Xenopus tropicalis: one gene and its partners. The protein of the gene in region 1 interacts with the protein of each later gene in a pairwise test. Links are inferred from orthologs where the notes say so. Each region holds a gene or a part of one and is shown in the gene's direction. Other genes may lie near its edges. The genes, in order: ddit3, tnfsf12, fosl2, mcmbp, dbp and batf.

What was found.
Region 2: the proteins of ddit3 (region 1) and tnfsf12 interact in binary tests that used the Homo sapiens proteins (3 or more experiments, as listed by UniProt). The two-hybrid records come from large-scale screens. The link is inferred for Xenopus tropicalis from reciprocal best matches to the Homo sapiens genes DDIT3 and TNFSF12.
Region 3: the proteins of ddit3 (region 1) and fosl2 interact in binary tests that used the Homo sapiens proteins (3 or more experiments, as listed by UniProt). The two-hybrid records come from large-scale screens. The link is inferred for Xenopus tropicalis from reciprocal best matches to the Homo sapiens genes DDIT3 and FOSL2.
Region 4: the proteins of ddit3 (region 1) and mcmbp interact in binary tests that used the Homo sapiens proteins (3 or more experiments, as listed by UniProt). The two-hybrid records come from large-scale screens. The link is inferred for Xenopus tropicalis from reciprocal best matches to the Homo sapiens genes DDIT3 and MCMBP.
Region 5: the proteins of ddit3 (region 1) and dbp interact in binary tests that used the Homo sapiens proteins (3 or more experiments, as listed by UniProt). The link is inferred for Xenopus tropicalis from reciprocal best matches to the Homo sapiens genes DDIT3 and DBP.
Region 6: the proteins of ddit3 (region 1) and batf interact in binary tests that used the Homo sapiens proteins (3 or more experiments, as listed by UniProt). The link is inferred for Xenopus tropicalis from reciprocal best matches to the Homo sapiens genes DDIT3 and BATF.

What each region holds. Positions count from the first base shown.
Region 1 is NC_030678.2:140,584,251-140,588,325, reverse strand, and holds the start of ddit3 (DNA damage-inducible transcript 3 protein), read left to right. Parts: upstream 1-1,275; 5' UTR 1,276-1,379; intron 1,380-4,075. UniProt on the Homo sapiens protein: Multifunctional transcription factor in endoplasmic reticulum (ER) stress response. Plays an essential role in the response to a wide variety of cell stresses and induces cell cycle arrest and apoptosis in response to ER stress.
Region 2 is NC_030679.2:147,513,829-147,517,328, forward strand, and holds part of tnfsf12 (tumor necrosis factor ligand superfamily member 12), read left to right. Parts: intron 1-980; coding exon 981-1,022; intron 1,023-3,358; coding exon 3,359-3,437; intron 3,438-3,500. UniProt on the Homo sapiens protein: Binds to FN14 and possibly also to TNRFSF12/APO3. Weak inducer of apoptosis in some cell types. Mediates NF-kappa-B activation. Promotes angiogenesis and the proliferation of endothelial cells. Also involved in induction of inflammatory cytokines.
Region 3 is NC_030681.2:5,731,226-5,735,283, forward strand, and holds the start of fosl2 (fos-related antigen 2), read left to right. Parts: upstream 1-1,258; 5' UTR 1,259-1,450; intron 1,451-3,026; 5' UTR 3,027-3,072; coding exon 3,073-3,183; intron 3,184-4,058.
Region 4 is NC_030683.2:6,240,572-6,244,613, forward strand, and holds the start of mcmbp (mini-chromosome maintenance complex-binding protein), read left to right. Parts: upstream 1-1,242; 5' UTR 1,243-1,362; coding exon 1,363-1,420; intron 1,421-4,042. Other genes in the region: sec23ip (SEC23-interacting protein), read right to left, coding at 795-927. UniProt on the Homo sapiens protein: Associated component of the MCM complex that acts as a regulator of DNA replication.
Region 5 is NC_030683.2:105,053,694-105,057,193, reverse strand, and holds part of dbp (D site-binding protein), read left to right. Parts: intron 1-2,222; coding exon 2,223-2,555; intron 2,556-3,500. UniProt on the Homo sapiens protein: This transcriptional activator recognizes and binds to the sequence 5'-RTTAYGTAAY-3' found in the promoter of genes such as albumin, CYP2A4 and CYP2A5. It is not essential for circadian rhythm generation, but modulates important clock output genes.
Region 6 is NC_030684.2:82,351,310-82,355,302, forward strand, and holds the start of batf (basic leucine zipper transcriptional factor ATF-like), read left to right. Parts: upstream 1-1,193; 5' UTR 1,194-1,954; coding exon 1,955-2,020; intron 2,021-3,226; coding exon 3,227-3,331; intron 3,332-3,993. UniProt on the Homo sapiens protein: AP-1 family transcription factor that controls the differentiation of lineage-specific cells in the immune system: specifically mediates the differentiation of T-helper 17 cells (Th17), follicular T-helper cells (TfH), CD8(+) dendritic cells and class-switch recombination (CSR) in B-cells.

The sequences.
Region 1 (4,075 bases):
CAGCAAATTTAAAGAGTGGTGGTACATTAAAGAGTTATACATCTATACCCAATGCCTAGCACTAGCCTCAGTAATTAAAACAGTCAATGCTTAAATAACTCGTTTTTCCATCAGGAAAACCACCATCCCACCTGTTACTGCTTCAATATTTTCACCTTAGTATTTTTGCTATTTTAAATTGATGCTGTTCAGCTAACATCCGCTGTCCATCTACATTGACACTATCAAGTGACTTCATTTGACCACATTAACTTCTATTACACCTAAGGATTCCATTGTTTTTCATGATTTTTTTCATACATATTTTGTACAGGTTTTTTAATATAGACTTTTCATGGATTTTTTTTTTTTAAATAAAGATGTATTCATTATGTACATGGCAAACTGGAATAAAATTATTTTTGAGTAATGAACTGTATAATTAGATACATTATAAGGTGGTATTAAGAAGCATATTTATTTCAGTGTGTAAGCCAACATGACAGGTAATGTTGCCCATGGCAACCAATAAGCAATTAGATTTTAATAATCACAAGTTAGAAACAAAAGCAAATATCTCATTGGTTGCTATCGCCTCAAGTCATGCTGGCTTATACACTATAATAAATATGCCCCTGTGTGTTTTAGTTGGTATACTAGCCAGCTACATTTCTAAAGTGAAATTGCTTTAAATAATTGGAACGATAAAAAACCCGGCACCTTATACAATTTTGGCGTTAGGATTAGTCGCTAGTTGTTTCTAGCAACGCAGGTTTTATATCTCTCTGTATTACTTCTTTAGGTTTAGTTCTCGCTATTTATGTTGCTTTCTTATGATAAAACCAGGTTGCGGACAAGGTCGTACAACCTGAAGGTGAAAAGCAAGCTTGGAAAGTCCCTCGGGTTGGGGGAAGGCTTGGCCCCAGCTTGCCAGCTCTTGCATCACCCACTATGACTCACTCTCGTCTCGTGATTTCCAACAAAACACTTCCGCAACACACCCTCTGACTGCACAACAGCATACCCAAGTGTCTCCGCCTTTAGGCTTCCGGTTGACGGGCCTCTGCGTTTCATACCTCGTTATGCTTTTTCAGCTAGCCTTCTAATTGGCTGTAGAAGGCACCTGGGGGCTGGCAATAGAAGTCCTCCCCGGAACGTCTGGCTAGAGGCGAATGAGGAAGCAATAGGATAAGGGTCGTGTACGCTAGATTGGGATCGACGATCTGATTGGCTAAGGCAGCGAGCTATATAACGCGGCTTCTTCGCACATATCCTCAGTCGTTTTGCTGAAGACGCAGACGATGTTTAACATGAGCCCACAGTCTCTTAACGTGCAACCACAAACCAGCTCACGCTGTCGCTTTATTTGTCAAAAGAGAACAGACCCTACGTGGAGAAAGGTATTGTTATTTCTTGTGTTCATATTGATTACAGCGAGTTTTGGACATAGGTATCGGCATCTCCTATGTGTGCCTTTAATCCGGCTCTAGTAAGGCAAGCGCACAGTGACGTTTTTTTGTGACCATTTTATTATTCCAACGCTGTGCAGAGCCTGAGTCTATAAGATGAGAGATGTAGTTCATCTTTAGTGTTGATACTGGTAAGACTGTTCGTTCTGGTATGGTCCATTAGGGGAGATGCTCTATAATTTCTTTAGAGTCTGTTTTGTTGGTTGGGGCGAAATGTATGTATGTATGTATGTATGTCTTTATTTATAAAGCGCTACTTATGTACGCAGCACTGTACAGTAGAATACATTAATACAAACAGGGGGTTAAAGATAATGGATAAATACAAAGTATAACAATAAATACAAATAAATACAAGGTACAGTTGCAATAAGAGTCAGAAACAAGATGAACGAGGTCCCTGCCCCGTAGAGCTTACAATCTATATGGGACCAAAAGGGCAAAGAGTGCTCAGTTCTAGAACCTACGGCATCCCAGGTATCTGAGGCTTATGAATGAGTGGAGGCAGGGCCAGTCAGTGCTGGTTAAGCCTGTCCCAGAGCCCACTCTCGCACTGCTGCCGGTTACAGAGCCCAGGATTACAATACAGCGGTGGCTCCCCCTCCCTTCCTCCCTGTTGTCTCTCAGCTGGAGCAGCCAGGCAGACACAGCAGCCCAGCAGCAGATCCCACTCTCCAGCTGTCCGGACCCCAATGTGACTCCCATCACACAGCAGCTGGCATAGATTAAGCACTAAAGCTGGCCACATGGTGGTCGCACAAAAGATCGTTCCAACCCTCCGCTGACATTCAGGGCTGAAACGGCAGATATGGAGGTACAAACAACAGGATTTCTACCTCCTTCTGTCGATTCAGCCCTGAAGGCAGATTTTGCTCAGACGCCTTCAATGGCTCCCGACTGGAGTGTCGACCGATATCCGCAACCTTCTGCGATATCTGTCGCCTTGCCGAGTTGCCATACACGCACCAAATATCGTATATTATCGGTGCGTGTATTGCCTGACTTCATAGCCATTTAACTTTATCCCACTCCTGGTGCTGCTGTAAGGCAACCAGGGGGGTTGAAATCAGCCAAGGCATTTATTAAACCCGATAAAGGAGAGTACAGGCACAGACCAGTAATAAAATGCTTGTCCTACAGGCATATTCATTTGCCCTTTTCCAAGGACTGTCTGTTAATGATTCCTTATCTCCTAAACACTGGAGCATACCATATACATCATTTGATAGAGCTTGTCACAGAATAGGACAATGGAACACTGCTGGCCAAAACAAACGGCAATTCAGTTATCCAAGCTGTCGTGATTTCTTATGTTTCCATTTTCTGCTGCTCAATTTCCTCAATTTTCCTCTCACGGGATGTAAGTTGGTGATCCATTACCTGCCCTATATTATTGTAGATGGTAGAATCTAAAACTATAGAAATTGCACATGCCAGATGAAATTTAGGCTTCCACCCCCCTGGCCAAACTGAACTAAAATATTTAAGAGCAAAATTAAAGTCATGGGCAGAGTCTTTAACAATTAACTAAATGCTCTTTCTGAAGAGTCCAAAGAGCTTGAATTGACTGCTTAAATCTGCCTGTGTATGGCCACCTTTACTCACAAAATGGATATTACAAGGCACCCATAGTTAAACAGGTGCTGAGAGTGACTGTAGAACCAACAACAAGATGATAAAATGAAACCAATCACTATCTTGTTTAATGTCCATTTGTTTAACTGAATATAAATACAGGCTGCTTTCCTTCAGGGCAATGTCACAAACATTTTGTTCCCCTTTGCTAAATCTGCGCTGCTCCAGCTGACAAAATATCCCAAATTTCCTTCCCAGCGGCAGTAATATGAATTAATGGTGGGAAAACCTAGTGAAGTTTTGTTGCTTGCAGTAGAGCAGATTACAGCGGCCAAAAAAATCCCTGTATAATTCCGCTTGGGTCCATTCCCACACTAAAGGTTCCCATACATGGGCCGATTGTAGCTGCTGATATTGGTCCCTTGGACCGATATGACAGCTTATCGGCTCCTGTAGGGGCAGAAGTGACGGCCATACCCGACCGATATCTGCCCCAAATTGGCCATATATCGATCGGGCCAGTTAAAAGATGCGGTCCCCGAACTGACTGCCCCATTGCCGCCATTATAATTAGATTGTTTGGCCCCAGAGCTAAACGATTGAATTGGCCTACATGTTCCCTGATATTGCCACCTGTAGGTGTGGATATTGGTTGAAGATCTGCTCACTTGGCGACCTCGCCAAGCGAGCGAATCTTCACGTGTATGGGCACCTTTTAGATCTGTGTTCGGTTAAGGGTGTTTAGAGGGGAATTACCTTTTTTTTTAACCGAGCTGGCAAAGTTTTATAGTTGTTTTATGGTGCATGTTGTGTGAAGGTTATTTGTATAAAAAAAAAAAAAAATAAAGACTAACCTGTAACAGTAACCAGTCTCGAGGCCTATTGTATTCAAGATCCTAATTTAGTAAGCACTACCTGCAGATTGGTTGCTATGGGTTACTAGATCTAGTTGCCATTTTGATTACATTGCCTCCTTATTGCTTAAGATCTCACTAAGACTTAAGCTGGCCAAACCAGTACTACATTTTGTATGATTTTCAGTCCATGTGTGG
Region 2 (3,500 bases), on another chromosome or scaffold:
CTGTTAGTGTGAGGGTATGTTGGCGTTAGAGCGCTGTTAGTGTGAGGGTATGTTGGTGTTAGAGCGCTGTTAGTGTGAGGGTATGTTGGCGTTAGAGCGCTGTTAGTGTGAGGGTATGTTGGTGTTAGAGCGCTGTTAGTGTGAGGGTATGTCGGCGTTAGAGCGCTGTTAGTGTGAGGGTATGTTGGTGTTAGAACGCTGTTAGTGTGAGGGTATGTCGGCGTTAGAGCGCTGTTAGTGTGAGGGTATGTTGGTGTTAGAGCGCTGTTAGTGTGAGGGTATGTCGGCGTTAGAGCGCTGTTAGTGTGAGGGTATGTTGGTGTTAGAGCGCTGTTAGTGTGAGGGTATGTTGGTGTTAGAGCGCTGTTAGTGTGAGGGTATGTCGGCGTTAGAGCGCTGTTAGTGTGAGGGTATGTCGGCGTTAGAGCGCTGTTAGTGTGAGGGTATGTCGGCGTTAGGGCGCTGTTAGTGTGAGGGTATGTCGGCGTTAGAGCGCTGTTAGTGTGAGGGTATGTCGGCGTTAGGGCGCTGTTAGTGTGAGGGTATGTCGGCGTTAGAGCGCTGTTAGTGTGAGGGTATGTTGGTGTTAGAGCGCTGTTAGTGTGAGGGTATGTCGGTGTTAGAGCGCTGTTAGTGTGAGGGTATGTTGGTGTTAGAGCGCTGTTAGTGTGAGGGTATGTCGGTGTTAGAGCGCTGTTAGTGTGAGGGTATGTTGGTGTTAGAGCGCTGTTAGTGTGAGGGTATGTTGGCGTTAGAGCGCTGTTAGTGTGAGGGTATGTTGGTGTTAGAGCGCTGTTAGTGTGAGGGTATATTGGTCTTTGAGAACTATTAGTTGCAAATAGCAAACCAAGGCAGTTAGAGCTCCCCTAGAGGCTGCCACAGGTAATGCAGAACTTTCATTCCCCACTATCAGCTACACACAGGCATGTATGTATATTATATGTATGTAACGCAGGGAACTCTGTGTTTTCTCTTTAAAGGATTTGCCCCCCCAGCAGCAGCAGCTGGACTCCGACACTCAGGTGAGACCCCCATATATATAAATGGGACAGTGTGTCTGTACGGAGACCCCTACACCTCCCTGTGCTACTGTGCCGGGCACAGCATTGTGTGTATATATATACTGTATATCAGAAGCATTGTGTGTATATATATATACTGTATATCAGAAGCATTGTGTATATATATATATACTGTATATCAGAAGCATTGTGTGTGTATATATATATACTGTATATCAGAAGCATTGTGTATATATATATATATACTGTATATCAGAAGCATTGTGTGTATATATATATATACTGTATATCAGAAGCATTGTGTATATATATATATATACTGTATATCAGAAGCATTGTGTGTATATATATATATACTGTATATCAGAAGCATTGTGTATATATATATATATACTGTATATCAGAAGCATTGTGTATATATATATATATACTGTATATCAGAAGCATTGTGTGTATATATATATATACTGTATATCAGAAGCATTGTGTATATATATATATATACTGTATATCAGAAGCATTGTGTGTATATATATATATACTGTATATCAGAAGCATTGTGTATATATATATATATACTGTATATCAGAAGCATTGTGTATATATATATATATACTGTATATCAGAAGCATTGTGTATATATATATATACTGTATATCAGAAGCATTGTGTGTGTATATATATATATACTGTATATCAGAAGCATTGTGTGTGTATATATATATACTGTATATCAGAAGCATTGTGTGTATATATATATATACTGTATATCAGAAGCATTGTGTGTATATATATATATACTGTATATCAGAAGCATTGTGTATATATATATATACTGTATATCAGAAGCATTGTGTGTATATATATATATACTGTATATCAGAAGCATTGTGTGTATATATATATATACTGTATATCAGAAGCATTGTGTATATATATATATACTGTATATCAGAAGCATTGTGTGTATATATATATACTGTATATCAGAAGCATTGTGTGTATATATATATATACTGTATATCAGAAGCATTGTGTGTATATATATATATACTGTATATCAGAAGCATTGTGTATATATATATATACTGTATATCAGAAGCATTGTGTGTATATATATACTGTATATCAGAAGCATTGTGTATATATATATATATATACTGTATATCAGAAGCATTGTGTATATATATATATATATACTGTATATCAGAAGCATTGTGTGTGTATATATATATATATACTGTATATCAGAAGCATTGTGTGTATATATATATACTGTATATCAGAAGCATTGTGTGTATATATATATATACTGTATATCAGAAGCATTGTGTGTATATATATACTGTATATCAGAAGCATTGTGTGTATATATATATACTGTATATCAGAAGCATTGTGTATATATATATACTGTATATCAGAAGCATTGTGTATATATATATACTGTATATCAGAAGCATTGTGTGTATATATATATACTGTATATCAGAAGCATTGTGTGTATATATATATATACTGTATATCAGAAGCATTGTGTGTATATATATATATACTGTATATCAGAAGCATTGTGTGTGTATATATATATACTGTATATCAGAAGCTGTATATAGACCCCTACACCTCCCTGTGCTACTGTGCCGGGCACAGCATTGTGTATATATATATACTGTATATCAGAAGCATTGTGTGTGTATATATATATACTGTATATCAGAAGCATTGTGTATATATATATACTGTATATCAGAAGCATTGTGTGTGTATATATATATATACTGTATATCAGAAGCATTGTGTATATATATATATATACTGTATATCAGAAGCTGTATATAGACCCCTACACCTCCCTGTGCTACTGTGCCGGGCACAGCATTGTGTATATATATATACTGTATATCAGAAGCATTGTGTGTGTATATATATATACTGTATATCAGAAGCATTGTGTATATATATATACTGTATATCAGAAGCATTGTGTGTGTATATATATATATACTGTATATCAGAAGCATTGTGTATATATATATATATACTGTATATCAGAAGCTGTATATAGACCCCTACACCTCCCTGTGCTACTGTGCCGGGCACAGCATTGTGTATATATATATACTGTATATCAGAAGCATTGTGTGTATATATATATACTGTATATCAGAAGCATTGTGTGTGTATATATATATACTGTATATCAGAAGCATTGTGTGTATATATATATATATACTGTATATCAGAAGCATTGTGTGTATATATATATACTGTATATCAGAAGGAAAGCTCATTAGAGGAATGGCTCACTGTATAAACCTTATTGCCCCCAACAGATCTATTACCAGAATGTATGGGAGAAGCAGCAATATCTGTACCAGAAGCTGAGGGAGAAGAGCCGGCCCAAGCGCGCAGGTAGCCAATGGGCGGATGTGTTAGTGCCGGGGGTAGCGAGGCCTCGCCCTGTACGTGGGGCAC
Region 3 (4,058 bases), on another chromosome or scaffold:
GATATTACTCACTGTATTCCCCTACCCACCATGTATTGCCAAAGGCCCATTTGAAGCCTCAATACTAAGCGCTACAATGGCCCGTAGTACGGAGCCCCCACCTTCCCAAGCCCAGCAGGTGCTCCGAGCCAGCCAGGGAATCCCTCCCGCACACGTCACTCCAACCAAGGGAACCCGCTTGCGTCACTGCCCATATATGGCTGCTACTTGCGTCAATGGAGCGAACCAAGCGCTTGGCAGGGGAGCCAACAGCTGGGATAGTCCAATAGTGCGGGGGGGGCAGAGCTGAGCGGGCAGGTCGGGGCAAGTGGAAGAAAGAGGTGAGAGCGCAGGGTAACACCCCCCCCGGCCTGGTACTGCCCCACTCTCCGCAGGAAACAAGGGCGGCCACGCCCCGGGGGAGGAGCCTGAGTCGCATTGGGAGCGCTGGTAGCTCAGTCAGTGATCAGAGTGACTCCGGTCTGACTCACCCAGCGCAGCTCCAGCGGCAGTGTCATCGGCGCTGTACAGTGTGCCCTGTGCCGTACTGACAGATCTGCCCAGTCAGAAGTGCGACTTCCAGCCCAGCCGGGGGGATCAGAGGAGCCGGCAGTGTGCCCTGTGCCGTACAGCTGGGAGTGCAACTAGTGCAGGACACATGGAATAGCAGCACAGCCTGCAGTGTACCTAGCGCTGTACAATCGGAATAACTAAGAGTACCTAGCGCTGTACAATCGGAATAACTAAGAGTACCTAGCGCTGTACAATCGGAATAACTAAGAGTACCTAGCGCTGTACAATCGGAATAACTAAGTGTACCTAGCGCTGTACAATCGGAATAACTAAGTGTACCTAGCGCTGTACAATCGGAATAACTAAGAGTACCTAGCGCTGTACAATCGGAATAACTAAGAGTACCTAGCGCTGTACAATCGGAATAACTAAGAGTACCTAGCGCTGTACAATCGGAATAACTAAGAGTACCTAGCGCTGTACAATCGGAATAACTAAGAGTACCTAGCGCTGTACAATCGGGATAACTAAGAGTACCTAGCGCTGTACAATCGGAATAACTAAGAGTACCTAGCGCTGTACAATCGGAATAACTAAGAGTACCTAGCGCTGTACAATCGGGATAACTAAGAGTACCTAGCGCTGTACAATCGGGATAACTAAGAGTACCTAGCGCTGTACAATCGGAATAACTAAGAGTACCTAGCGCTGTACAATCGGGATAACTAAGAGTACCTAGCGCTGTACAATCGGGATAACTAAGAGTACCTAGCGCTGTACAATCGGGATAACTAAGAGTACCTGGGGCAGGACACTTGGATCGGCAGCACAGCCGGCAGCGCACCCAGCACCCTATGGGAGAGAGATCGCACTGACAGCACCCATTGGATTACAGGGCCGGGCCTGGCACTTTATATCTATTCGCCCCACTGGGCGCCCGCTGAGTTGGATTAACAAGGTGGGGGCATCTCTTGCCAGGGTATCAGCGGGTATATGTCTTATGGATCAGCGGGTATACGGCGTGGGGGGGTGATCCGACAGAAAGCAATTATATGGAGAAGTGTCCCAATGTAGGATATGGAGACATGGCACAGTGGGTATGGGGGCACAGTGGGTATGGGGGCACAGTGGGTATGGGGGCACAGTGGGTATGGGGGCACAGTGAGTATGGGGGCACAGTGAGTATGGGGGCACAGTGAGTATGGAGGCACAGTGGGTATGGGGGCACAGTGAGTATGGAGGCACAGTGGGTATGGGGGCACAGTGGGTATGGGGGCACAGTGAGTATGGAGGCACAGTGGGTATGGGGGCACAGTGAGTATGGGGGCACAGTGGGTATGGGGGCACAGTGAGTATGGGGGCACAGTGAGTATGGAGGCACAGTGGGTATGGGGGCACAGTGAGTATGGAGGCACAGTGGGTATGGGGGCACAGTCGCACACATTGCACTGGGTATATGGGTAAATTGTGGGTATATGAGAGGGTATAGAGGGTATATGACACACAGTATAGTGGGTATATGGGCACACAGTACATTGGGTATATGGGCACACAGTATAGAGGGTATATGGCACACAGTATAGAGGGTATATGGGCACACAGTACAGAGGGTATATGGGCACACAGTATAGAGGGTATATGGGCACACAGTATAGTGGGTATATGGGCACACAGTATAGAGGGTATATGGGCACACAGTATAGAGGGTATATGGGCACACGGTATAGAGGGTATATGGGCACACAGTATAGAGGGTATATGGGCACAGGGTACAGAGGGTATATGGGCACACAGTATAGAGGGTATATGGGCACAGGGTACAGAGGGTATATGGGCACACGGTATAGAGGGTATATGGGCACACAGTATAGAGGGTATATGGGCACAGGGTACAGAGGGTATATGGGCACAGGGTACAGCGGGTATATGGGCACAGGGTACAGAGGGTATATGGGCACAGGGTACAGAGGGTATGTGGGCACACAGTATAGAGGGTATATGGGCACACAGTATAGAGGGTATATGGGCACAGAGTACACAGGGTATATGGGCACAGGGTACAGAGGGTATATGGGCACACAGTACAGAGGGTATATGGGCACAGGGTACAGAGGGTATATGGGCACACAGTACAGAGGGTATATGGGCACACAGTACAGAGGGTATATGGGCACAGGGTACAGAGGGTATATGGGCACACAGTACAGAGGGTATATGGGCACAGGGTACAGAGGGTATATGGGCACACAGTATAGAGGGTATATGGGCACACAGTACAGAGGGTATATGGGCACACAGTACAGAGGGTATATGGGCACAGGGTACAGAGGGTATATGGGCACAGGGTACAGAGGGTATATGGGCACACAGTATAGAGGGTATATGGGCACACAGTACAGAGGGTATATGGGCACAGGGTACAGAGGGTATATGGGCACAGGGTACAGAGGGTATATGGGCACAGGGTACAGTGGGTATATGGGCACACATTGGGTGCCAGTGTCTGATTGCCTTTCCGTATGTGTTTTTTGAAGATTGGACCCCGGCAGCCTCCCACCCTGTGAGTTCAGAGCTCAGATCATGTACCAGGATTATCCAGGGAATTTCGACAGCTCCTCCCGTGGCAGCAGCAGCTCCCCAGCCCAGCCTGAGGGTTACCCCAGCAGCACCTTATCTACCTCCATCCTGCAGGTGAGGGTCACTCTCCCTTCCCATTTGCCCCCCCCCTTCTGTAATCTCTGCCTCTCCCTGTGTATTCCCTCCCCACTCCCAGAACATTCCTGCCTTTGTCCTCTGTATTACATGCCTGTGTCTGCTTTATCTTGTGTTACTGCCCCCTGTACTGCCCACTGTACTGCCCGCTGTACTGCCCACTGTACTGCCCCCTGTACTGCCCACTGTACTGCCCACTGTACTGCCCACTGTACTGCCCACTGTACTGCCCCCTGTACTGCCCACTGTACTGCCCCCTGTACTGCCCCCTGTACTGCCCCCTGTACTGCCCCCTGTACTGCCAACTGTACTGCCCCCTGTACTGCCCGCTGTACTGCCCACTGTACTGCCCACTGTACTGCCCGCTGTACTGCCCGCTGTACTGCCCCCTGTACTGCCCGCTGTACTGCCCGCTGTACTGCCCCCTGTACTGCCCACTGTACTGCCCCCTGTACTGCCCACTGTACTGCCCACTGTACTGCCCCCTGTACTGCCCCCTGTACTGCCCCCTGTACTGCCCACTGTACTGCCCCCTGTACTGCCCACTGTACTGCCCCCTGTACTGCCCACTGTACTGCCCGCTGCCCCCTGTACTGCCCTCTGCCCGCTGTACTGCCCACTGCCCTCTGCCCGCTGTGCTGCCCGCTGCCCTCTGTACTGCCCCCTGTACTGCCCGCTGCCCTCTGTACTGCCCGCTTCCCTCTGTACTGCCCCCTGTACTGCCCGCTGCCCTCTGTACTGCCCGCTTCCCTCTGTACTGCCCCCTGTACTGCCCTCTGCCCACTGTACTGCCCTCTGCCCACTGTACTCCCCGCTGCCCCCTGCCCTCTGTACTGCCCACTGAACTGCCCCCT
Region 4 (4,042 bases), on another chromosome or scaffold:
GACAGGTTGGGGGGCACTGGGCAGTAGGACAGGGTTGGGGGCAACTGGGCAGTAGACAGGGTTGGGGGGCACTGGGCAGTAGGGACAGGTTGGGGGCACGGCAGTAGGACAGGGTTGGGGGCACTGGCAGCAGGTTGGGGGGCACTGGGCCAGTAGGACAGGGTTGGGGGGCACTGGGCAGTAGGACAGGGTTGGGGGGCACTGGGCAGTAGGACAGGGTTGGGGGGCACTGGGCAGTAGGACAGGGTTTGGGGGCACTGGGCAGTAGGACAGGGTAGGGGGCACTGGGCAGTAGGACAGGGTTGGGGGGCACTGGGCAGTAGGACAGGGTTGGGGGGCACTGGGCAGTAGGACAGGGGTTGGGGGGCACTGGGCAGTAGGACAGGGTTGGGGGGCACTGGGCCAGTAGGACAGGGTTGGGGGCACTGGGCAGTAGGACAGGGTTGGGGGGCACTGGGCAGTAGGACAGGGTTGGGGGGCACTGGGCAGTAGGACAGGGTTGGGGGCACTGGGCAGTAGGACAGGGTTGGGGGCACTGGGCAGTAGGACAGGGTTTGGGGGGCACTGGGCAGTAGGACAGGGTTGGGGGGCACTGGGCAGTAGGACAGGGTTGGGGGGCACTGGGCAGTAGGACAGGGTGGGGGGCACCGGGCAGTAGGACAGGGTTGGGGGGCACTGGGCAGTAGGACAGGGTTGGGGGGGCACTGGGCAGTAGGACAGGGTTGGGGGGCACTGGGCAGTAGGACAGGGTTGGGGGGCACTGGGCAGTAGGAGTGAGGGGCCCCTTTACTCACCGCTCGGAAGCATTGCGGGGCCGTGCTGGCTCACAGGGATGAAGGGAAGGGAGAAGCTGATCTCGGAGGCGGAGAAGAGCAGGTTGTTGCCAGGCGGCCCGGACTGAGCCCCGTTAGGTACCTTCCCCGCCATGTCCGTCCCACAAGTTCCACGTAACCCACCCGGGACAGCAGGAACCGGACCCGTCACCAAGTGAGTACGTCCAATCAATACCTACGGGCGTTCCGCGTTATCCAATGAGAACTCGCCAAACACAAACCTCCCCAACCAGTGGCTGAAGAGCAAAGTTCATATGCATGACGTAGCACCTCAGCTCCACCAATTAAACCGTGCGTTTAGATAAAAGGGCGGTTCCAGAGGTTCCTATCCCTTTCGCTAACTATAATGTGGCTGCCCGGCTGAGGACTTCCGCCAGTCGCTACGTGCACTCCAGCCAAAACATGGCCGCGCTCATGGAGATTTCCGCCAACCAGTGCGTTTCGGGAGCGCTTGACGCGACCCATTGCGTAGTGACGTCTTTTTCCCGCCATCACTGAGTTAGTTCAACGAGTCTTTGGTGTCTGCGCGATGACTGGAGGAGAAAGCTGGATCAGCGACCCGCTCGGTGTGGTACAGGGCTTGTTTGGTGAGTGGGGCAGCGTCCGGCCCCCGGGCCAGCAGGAGTGGGGCGGGTAGAGCCGGGCATGAGTGGGGCGGGTAGAGCCGGGCATGAGTGGGGCAGGCGGGTAGAGCCGGGCATGAGTGGGGCGGGTAGAACCGGGCATGAGTGGGGCGGGTAGAGCCGGGCATGAGTGGGGCGGGTAGAACCGGGCATGAGTGGGGCGGGTAGAGCCGGGCATGAGTGGGGCGGGCGGGTAGAGCCGGGCATGAGTGGGGCGGGCGGGTAGAGCCGGGCATGAGTGGGGCAGGCGGGTAGAGCCGGGCATGAGTGGGGCTGGTAGAGCCGGGCATGAGTGGGGCGGGTAGAGCCGGGCATGAGTGGGGCGGGTAGAGCCGGGCATGAGTCGGGCGGGTAGAGCCGGGCATGAGTGGGGCGGGTAGAGCCGGGCAATGGGTGGGGCGGGTAGAGCCGGGCATGAGTGGGGGCGGGTAGAGCCGGGCATGAGTGGGGCGGGTAGAGCCGGGCATGAGTGGGGCGGGTAGAGCCGGGCATGAGTGGGGCGGGTAGAGCCGGGCATGAGTGGGGGCGGGTAGAGAGCCGGGCATGAGTGGGGCGGGCGGGTAGAGCCGGGCATGAGTGGGGCGGGTAGAGCCGGGCATGAGTGGGGGGGGTAGAGCCGGGCATGAGTGGGGCGGGCGGGTAGAGCCGGGCATGAGTGGGGTGGGTAGAGCCGGGCATGAGTGGGCGGGGTAGAGCCGGGCATGAGTGGGGCGGGCGGGTAGAGCCGGGCATGAGTGGGGCGGGCGGGTAGAGCCGGGCATGAGTGGGGCGGGCGGGTAGAGCCGGGCATGAGTGGGGCGGGCGGGTAGAGCCGGGCATGAGTGGGGCGGGCGGGTAGAGCCGGGCATGAGTGGGGCGGGTAGAGCCGGGCATGAGTGGGGCTGGTAGAGCCGGGCATGAGTGGGGCCGGGTAGAGCCGGGCATGAGTGGGGCGGGTAGAGCCGGGCATGAGTGGGGCGGGTAGAGCCGGGCATGAGTGGGGCGGTGAGCCGGGTCGGGTAGAGCCGGGCATGAGTGGGGCGGGTAGAGCCGGGCATGAGTGGGGCGGGTAGAGCGGGCATGAGTGGGGCGGGTAGAGCCGGGCATGAGTGGGGCGGGCAGAGCCGGGCATGAGTGGGGCGGGTGAGGGGCGGGTAGAGCCGGGCATGAGTGGGGCGGGCGGGTAGAGCCGGGCATGAGTGGGGGCGGCGGGTAGAGCCGGGCATGAGTGGGGCGGGCGGGTAGAGCCGGGCATGAGTGGGGCAGGCGGGTAGAGCCGGGCATGAGTGGGGCGGGTAGAGCCGGGCATGAGTGGGGCGGGGTAGAGCCGGGCATGAGTGGGGCGGGTAGAGCCGGGCATGAGTGGGGCGGTAGAGCCGGGCATGAGTGGGGCGGGCGGGTAGAGCCGGGCATGAGTGGGGCGGGTAGAGCCGGGCATGAGTGGGGCGGGTAGAGCCGGGCATGAGTGGGGCGGGCGGGTAGAGCCGGGCATGATGGGGGCGGGCGGGTAGAGCCGGGCATGAGTGGGGCGGGTGGGCGGGTAGCAGGCCGGGCATGATGGGGCGGGGTAGAGCCGGGCATGAGTGGGGCGGGTAGAGCCGGGCATGGGGGGCCGGGGTAGAGCCGGGCATGAGTGGGGCGGGTAGAGCCGGGCCATGAGTGGGGCGGGGTAGAGCCGGGCATGAGTGGGGCGGGCGGGTAGAAGCCGCGGCATGAGTGGGCCGCGGGTAGAGCCGGGCATGAGTGGGGCTGGCGGGTAGAGCCGGGCATGAGTGGGGCTGGCGGGTAGAGCCGGGCATGAGTGGGGCGGGCGGGTAGAGCCGGGCATGAGTGGGGCTGGCGGGTAGAGCCGGGCCATGAGTGGGGCGGGTAGAGCCGGGCATGAGTTGGGGGGAGGGCGGGCGGGTAGAGCCGGGCGTGAGTGGGGCGGGCAGGTAGAGCCGGGCATGAGTGGGGCGGGCATGAGTGGGGCGGGTAGAGCCGGGCATGAGTGGGGCGGGCGGAGCCGGGCATGAGGGGGGGTAGAGCCGGGCATGAGTGGGGCGGGCGGGTAGAGCCGGGCATGAGTGGGGCGGGCGGGTAGAGCCGGGCATGAGTGGGGCAGGCGGGCGGGTAGAGAAAACCCATTTAGGGGCATATTTATTATAGTGTGTAGGCAACATTATAAGTTCTAAAATGTAAATATCTGGTTGGTTGCTATGGCAACATGACTAGTGATGTTTGCTTACACCCTAATATAAAGATGCCCTTTAGTGTGATGGCACCTGTGGCACCATGCCATCTCTGCTGAGTATGGAGCGGCCTCTAGTAGCCCAACGATCCCTGATTGTTGAACTGTGGCACCCAGCACCCACATTCCCTGCTCGCTGTATGCATGGGGGTGGCACAGGTATGTAGTGTTGGGTGGCACCCTCTCACTTAGGTGGGCACTGGGTTTAGCGCTGCACAGGATGTGCCCCAATAGCAGCTGGGGGGCCCCAGGCTACTGTACCCTGAATCAGGACATGGGTGTGAGTGCATTACACAGTTACGTAGTAGCTCAGGTAGAAAAAAGACCAACTTTACTGAATATCATGTTTATCCCTTTCAGCTATTAGCGTTTTGCTT
Region 5 (3,500 bases), on another chromosome or scaffold:
AGGAGATGCATCAACTATGCGGCGATCGATTGATCGAGCCTAGCCTGACTCCTTCCTATACAGAAGTCAGGCTAGGCTCGATCAATCGATCACCGCATAGTTCATGCATCTCCTGATACTTCCCCTGCATCGCCGTATCGCCTTTGTTCAAATGACAGGAAGCCGAGTTTTTAACAGGTATTTTCTACTAAAGCATTCAAAATAACAAATGGTTTTCAGGATAGGGCAATTACTGGGGGAGGGTAGAATAGATTTTTTAGTTAAAAGTTTTTAGTGTTACTTTTCTTTTAAGGCCTAGGCCTGGCCCCTCTAATTGAAGGTCTGCAGGTTGGATGGGCCAAAAGTAGCCCTCCAGGCAAATATTATGGCCCTAGCCTGCACAAGAGTTCCATAACCTTGTTTGGATGACATCACAGTGGCAAAAGGTTTGATGCTCTGGTTTCCACCCATGTTCCAAAAAATCATACAGAGAGGTTTACTGTGTAAATAAAATGTTGTCACATCATCATCATTTTAATATAATCTGGCTTGTAAATATTCTGTATAACGAATAAATTGACCTCTACATGGAAAAAGTTGGACAGCATAGCCTCAGCCATTAGTGTTGCCATCAGAATCCATCTTGGCTTCTTCTGACTAAACAGTACTAAACATTAAAGGGTCCATACAGATGTTCTCCACTGCTGGCATGTCTGCTTGTCTCATTGGGCACTGATTGCAACAGTTCAGGCACAAGCTGATCCACCACAGTGTGAATACACCAGGCATCACACAAGTAGATCATTGGGTTTAACAGAGCAGTCAGGTGACATGAAGCAGAGTACAGTATAAACAAACACCCAGTCACTTCCTATTGGCTGAATCCCCAACTTACTAGCAGAGTGCCAGCAAAAGAAACCAATGGAGAAAAAACAGTAAGAATTTAAAGCTTAAAATGCAAAAAAGTCTCCTGCTTGGCCTTCTTTAGTATTTTTGTTTATTTTATAGTGTGGGGCACCTACCTGGCCAGTTTTTTACAGGCCCTGTCAGTTATAATGGTGGCAATGGTATATATGGGGCGAAAGGTAACATAGGAGGGCTAGTCATTTATTCCACAAGAGATGGCAATGCTACTGTTATATGTGGCCTCGATTGCTCAGATGGATGGGACAGGAAAACTTATACAGTTTTCAGTACAAGCTCAATGATTATTATTATTAAAGGGGTGGTTAAACTTTAGGTTAACTTTTAGTATGTTATAGAATGGCCAGTTCTAAGCAACTTTTCAATTTGTCTTCATTACTTATTTTTTATAGTTTCTTTTATTATTATTATATTATGCGCCGTCTTCTTTTGACTTTTTCCAACTTTCAAATGGAGGGTCAGTGACCCCAGCAGCCAAAAATAAACTATTGCTCTGTGAGGCTACAATGTTATTGTTATTGTTACTTTTTATTACTTATTTTTCTAATCAGGTCCTCTCCTATAAATATACCAGCCTCTCATTCAAACCCCTCCTTAGTTGCTAAGATGATTTGAACCCTAGCAACCACATAACTAAACAAAAAGTGAAATAATTAAAAAAAAACACCAAAAATAAAGACCAATTGCATATTATCTCAGAATATCACTTGCTACATCATATTAAAAGTTAACTTAAAGAGTGAACAACCCCTTTAAGTGATAGCGCCACAACTGATGCTACATGCAGTCTTTGGTGAAAGCTGAAAGTTGTTGTGCTGCGACAGCTGGAGGACAAATGCTACTAATCCGTGTATTGGGCGGTTTAAGTTTAGAGGAAATTTCAGGCTATTAGTAAAATTTGTGGTTGGGCTGGCAAATCTCCAGATAAAGCATAAATTATGTCTTGCACACACAAAGGGACTGTTATTTCTTTCTTTTGTTTTTTGTTTTTTTGCAGCTTGCTGTTCCTCTTTGTAAGGATGGTGCCATAAATGATTATGTGCAAGGTTGGGAAATTTCAGCTGTCAGGGCATTCTGGGAATTGTAGTTCAGTAACATCTAAAGAGTAACAGGTTGCTCTCTCCATTTCATTTATATATTCTGGGATACTAAAGCACCAATAAACTGCACAGTGTGACCTTTGGCCAGGAGAAATCTATTTTAAGAAAATAATATTTTGATTTTTGACTGGGTCAGTTCTCATTAGCTTCAAATATGATGTCAGATCTGAAGCATAAGGGAAGTTTTTTTCTTTCAACTTCTTTCATTCTCTCCCAAAGGTATAATGAAAGAAAAGGAGAGGAAACTAGAAGATGACATGACTGGTCCTCGTCCCGCTCACTGTGCGTTCCTGGGGTCCCTACTGTGGGAACGCACATTGCCATATAATGAAATAGAGTATGTGGACCTGGATGAGTTCCTACGAGAGAATGGCCTTCCTCCAAGCCCACCTCACCAGCCCTTCTCACCAGCGAATCTGACGCCACCTCCATCTAACCAATCAGTGGTTGATCTCAGCCGACCGGCCTCCTGCGCCTCTTCTACCTCCGCCTGTTCTTCTCCTGTGCAAAGCATGATTGACAGTGAATATGAACATCCAAGCAGCCAAGCAGGTACAGACCGTTTTTTGCTATGTCTGCACTCTTTCACTTTAAAAACATGTAAGTGGCTATAAATACTTTCCATTGGTTCCAAAAGTAATGCCTGTGAGCATGGGGCTCTGAGTGGAAATCAAGTTACAGTTTTTTAGCCTGTTCCATGCGCAATGTGCAAAAATCACTGAAATTCTACCTGTTTTTTTTAACTTAACTGAGTATAGGCAGTGTACAGGTATGGAACCTGTTATCCAGAATGCTTTGGACCTGAGTCTTTCCGGAATTTGGATCTCCATATTTTAAGTCTGCTAAAAATAATTTAAGCTTTAAATAAATCCAATAATATTTACAATTTTTGAATTATTTGATTAAAATAAAATCTTTGGGAGATGACCTTCCCATAATTCAGAGATTTCTTAATAACAGGTTTCCAGATAACAGATTCCATACCTGTATATACATTACATATATAATACATTATAAAATTCAAAATACAAGGCTAATTAGTAATTCCTTCAGATTCATAATACAACACAGCATACAAACTACTGGGTTCTGCATCAGGATTGCAATAAAACATTATCTTCTATGTCAAATGTAGTGTCATTTTTTTACTAACATTTCAATGATTTTTTATGACCTGCTAAGGTTAGCTTTTTGGCACTAGCCTAGAGCAAGGCTGTCCAACTGGAGAACTGCGGGCCTGGACGTGTCCCTCCAAATAATTTTTATAGCCCCCAATCATGGCTGTACTTTACAGACATGACATCATGTGCAACCTGTGTGTGACTTTACATACTCCTTACATCGCGGAAGTCACATGCAAGATGTAATTTTTGCAGCCTGAAGCGGCCCCCTGCCCCTCCAGCTCTGATGCCAGAAATCTACGGTGGAAGCTGGGAGCATATTTTATCTAAAGATTAATAAATCAAATACATAGGGCCACCTCCCCAAAAGCTCCCG
Region 6 (3,993 bases), on another chromosome or scaffold:
TGTATGGGGGGGTGTTCTGTGTATGGGGGTGCTCTGTGTATGGGGGGGTGTTCTGTGTATGGGGGTGCTCTGTGTATGGGGGGGTGTTCTGTGTTTAGGGGTGCTCTGTGTATTGGGGGGTGTTCTGTGTTTGGGGGTGCTCTGTGTATGGGGGGGTGTTCTGTGTATGGGGGTGCTCTGTGTATGGGGGGTGTTCTGTGTTTGGGGGTGCTCTGTGTATGGGGGGGTGTTCTGTGTATGGGGGGTGCTCTGTGTATGAAGGGCACTGTGTATGGGGGCACTGTGTATAAAGGGTACTGTGTATGGGGGGCACACTGTATGGGGGGCACTGTGTATAAAGGGTACTGTGTATGAAGGGTACTGTGTATGGGGGGCACACTGTATGGGGTGCACTGTGTATAAAGGGTACTGTGTATGGGGGGTGCTCTGTGTATGGGGGCACTGTGTATAAAGGGTACTGTGTATGGGGGGCACACTGTATGGGGGGGCACTGTGTGTAAAGGGTACTGTGTATGAAGGGTACTGTGTATGGGGGGCACACTGTATGGGGTGCACTATGTATAAAGGGTACTGTGTATGGGGGGCACTGTGTATAAAGGGTACTGTGTATGGGGGGCACGCTGTATGGGGGCACTGTGTATAAAGGGTACTGTGTATGGGGGGCACGCTGTATGGGGGGCACTGTGTATAAAGGGCACTGTGTATGGGGGAACTGTGTATGGGGGACACGCTGTATGGGGGGCACTGTGTATGGGGGGCACTGTGTATGGGGGGCACTGTGTATGGGGGGCACTGTGTATAAAGGGTACTGTGTATGGGGGGCTCTGTGTATAAAGGGCACTGTGTATGGGGGGCTCTGTGTATAAAGGGCACTGTGTATGGGGGGCTCTGTGTATGAGTCTCCCCTGTGTGGGGGGGCAAAACTGGTAGATAGTTAGAACTCACATATAACTCACTGCCTTCTCTCTATATTTGTATTTATATGTGGGAGTTGCTATATTGTTTTCCTTAGGTAGTACAGTATGAGGGTATAGCACATTTGCATCTGATCCCACCATTTCAACTATATAAAAGGAGTTTTTATAGAAAACAATGGGGTGTGTTAATTGGGGCGTGGCCACAAAAGTGGGCGTGGTCAAAAATTTGCCGCGCTGCACGCACCAATTCTTTTTGGCCCTCTTTTCGGTTTTCAAATGTTGGGAGGTATGAAATATAGCGTTATAGGTGGCACTAATGTGATTCTGATTGGCTGTTAGCCTGCAGAAGTTTCTGTTTGGAGTTAAACTGTGTCTCTGTGCTTCCAAAATTTGCCTCCAAGCCAAACTTGAGGCCACTGGGAGCAAGCCACTGGTTGGGGATAACGGCTCTAGGCAAATTACAAAATATACATGCATCTTGCATCATTTAGATACCTGTCTGATTGTGTATGGCCACCATAGGATCTTATGCTTCTATTGCAAAAACTGAGGCCAGAAAAGCAGCTAGCACTATTTTGAACATATTATGCTCCACTCGTTATTTTTTCCACATCAGTAATAACATCTTTGAGAAATACAGTGAAACACTACTCACCTCACTCCTCCCACACACTCCTCTCTGATGACATGTGGGGTTTTCCTGGGTATTTTTCACCTTGTCCCCAATGTGTTTTTGATTTTTTTAGCTGACATTTATAACATGTTTCTGTCATGTGACTTCCAACTCCGGTCCCCAGACACCAAAACCACGCGGAAAGGTGACAGGGAGAGGTGGCTGCGTCATGGGTGAGAACCTTGCGAGAGAAGAACCAGAGGAAGAAACGTAAAATAGACGTGAAGACTGCAAAGGAAGTACAAGTTCACACAAAAGGGGCAGCAACTGACAAAGGCTCCGATTCCCCTGAGAAACAGGAAAAGAAACCAAGTGCAGAGAAAAAGTTTGACGGACAAAGCAGCCTCAAGAGGCTAGGGGGGACATGCAACAAGAGCCTGATAGAAATGAGCAGGGCTACTGCAGCTCTCCCCCTTCTAGCAACAAACAGGTAAGCCAAATGCTCTTAATCTACTGTGGCCATAAGAACACCAGTTGGATATGGACTTTTATTGCCTCTGATGTCTCAGCCTTTCTCTCATGTCACAGTGCATATTCCATTTGATACCCCAGGATCTATACAGTGTAAAAGCCTGCTATTCTTATAGGTCTATATTGATTAAGGGGTGGTGTTTTAATTTTAAGCCAGAATGTTAAGGATTCTTAAAAATGAAGAAATATCACAGAATTCATTAGGTATTATCAGGTCTTGTAAGAGCTGATGCACACTGCCATTTACTATGTTAATATGGTTGTAAGAATTTTTACCACTGGACTGCAAAATTACAGGTGCATTGTACACATTGTGTTTAATTTTGTCTACTGAATGATGTAATAACACTAATTCCTGTTGGTATAACCACATTAAGTGATGCATGTAATCACCCAGATGAATGATATCTCACATTGTATTTTTCACTGTGATAACATTATTACCTTTAAAGGATAAGTAGGATAAAACAGTGGGGGTGCCAATATGTTGGGTAGCCCCCAGTGAGGCAAATCACTAACTTTGCCAGCAAGGATACTTTCTTGAAGAGCACTGCACTGTACTGCTATTTTGATGCCAATAATTCAATATCTCCTGGGTCCACTGAGCAGGTGCACATGCTGAATAGTTAACTCATCATAAGTTATTGTGGCTCCGACATCGCGGTACTTCAATAAAGTATCCTGTACCATTGTGTTTTTATGGAACAAGTATACCATCCCAGGCCACAAGATTTGCCCTACTTTGTTACCCAACATATTGGCAATCCCCAGTACTCGTCTGTAAATGATCTCTATGGCATGTCATACATATATTTTTTGCTCACATTAAACTGACCAAGTGCTTGTACATTAAAATCCCAGACCATGTTGGCAAATGGGGATTGTAGCACACATGTACTTACCCTTACTATGTACAGATCAGTACAGATTATCATTAAAAAATCCACACCAGATGCCTGATAAAAATTGTTACCCACTTTTGCAACTGCCTTTTTCCAGTGTGGGGTCGGTGATATAAAAGGATAAAGCCTGCTGTGGAGTTTTCTAGTTAATGCTAGTCTCTGATTATTTCTATGTGACATCAAGGATTTTAGCACATATCACATCCTATCATACATAATAGTCTTCATGCAGTCTAACACTCTCTAGTTGCCTTCTTTGTAAGGATTCTTCAGACGACACAAAGAAAATTCAGAGAAGAGAGAAAAATAGGATTGCAGCACAGAAAAGCCGCCAGCGGCAGACACAGAAAGCAGACTCTTTACACATTGTGAGTATGCAGGCAGAGTGACTCTTGTATGCTCATTACTGTACATGATTCTCTGCAGAATACTGTACATATACCATACTGTAGACCAAAATTCAGCACCCTGGAATTTACTTTTTTGAACTGCAGACCAGTGCAAATTTGTAGAAGTGATGCAGTGTGCTATGCTGCCTGATTTTCATTTATTTATTGATCAACAACTTTCTGTTTGCATCCTCTCTGTATGTAGCAAATCTCCCTTTTACCTCCCATTACAGGAAGACACCCCCTCCCCTCCAAACTCACAGCCCCCTCTCATCTCTCCTCCTCCCCCCCACTCCCCTTTCCTGTAAACGGAGGTTTGGTTTCTGCTGCTGTATTTTGTAAATTTAACATAACAAAGTGCAAAGGTATTTTACTATTTCTATCTTAATGTGAGCTATAGCCACTACATTTACTTGTATATCATATATATATATATATATTTATTTATTTTTTTCATTTATATAGCACTTCTTGTAAATGTAATACAATAAAACATTTAGGTAAAAGGTGACAAGACCAACCCTTAAATACGTTCATGACATATGAGATATAAATGCGATACAGTAATAAGTAAGCCAATGTGATATTTTATCCTTGAGACATAGAGAGAGTGTAGGGATACACAGTTACTTCCTCACACT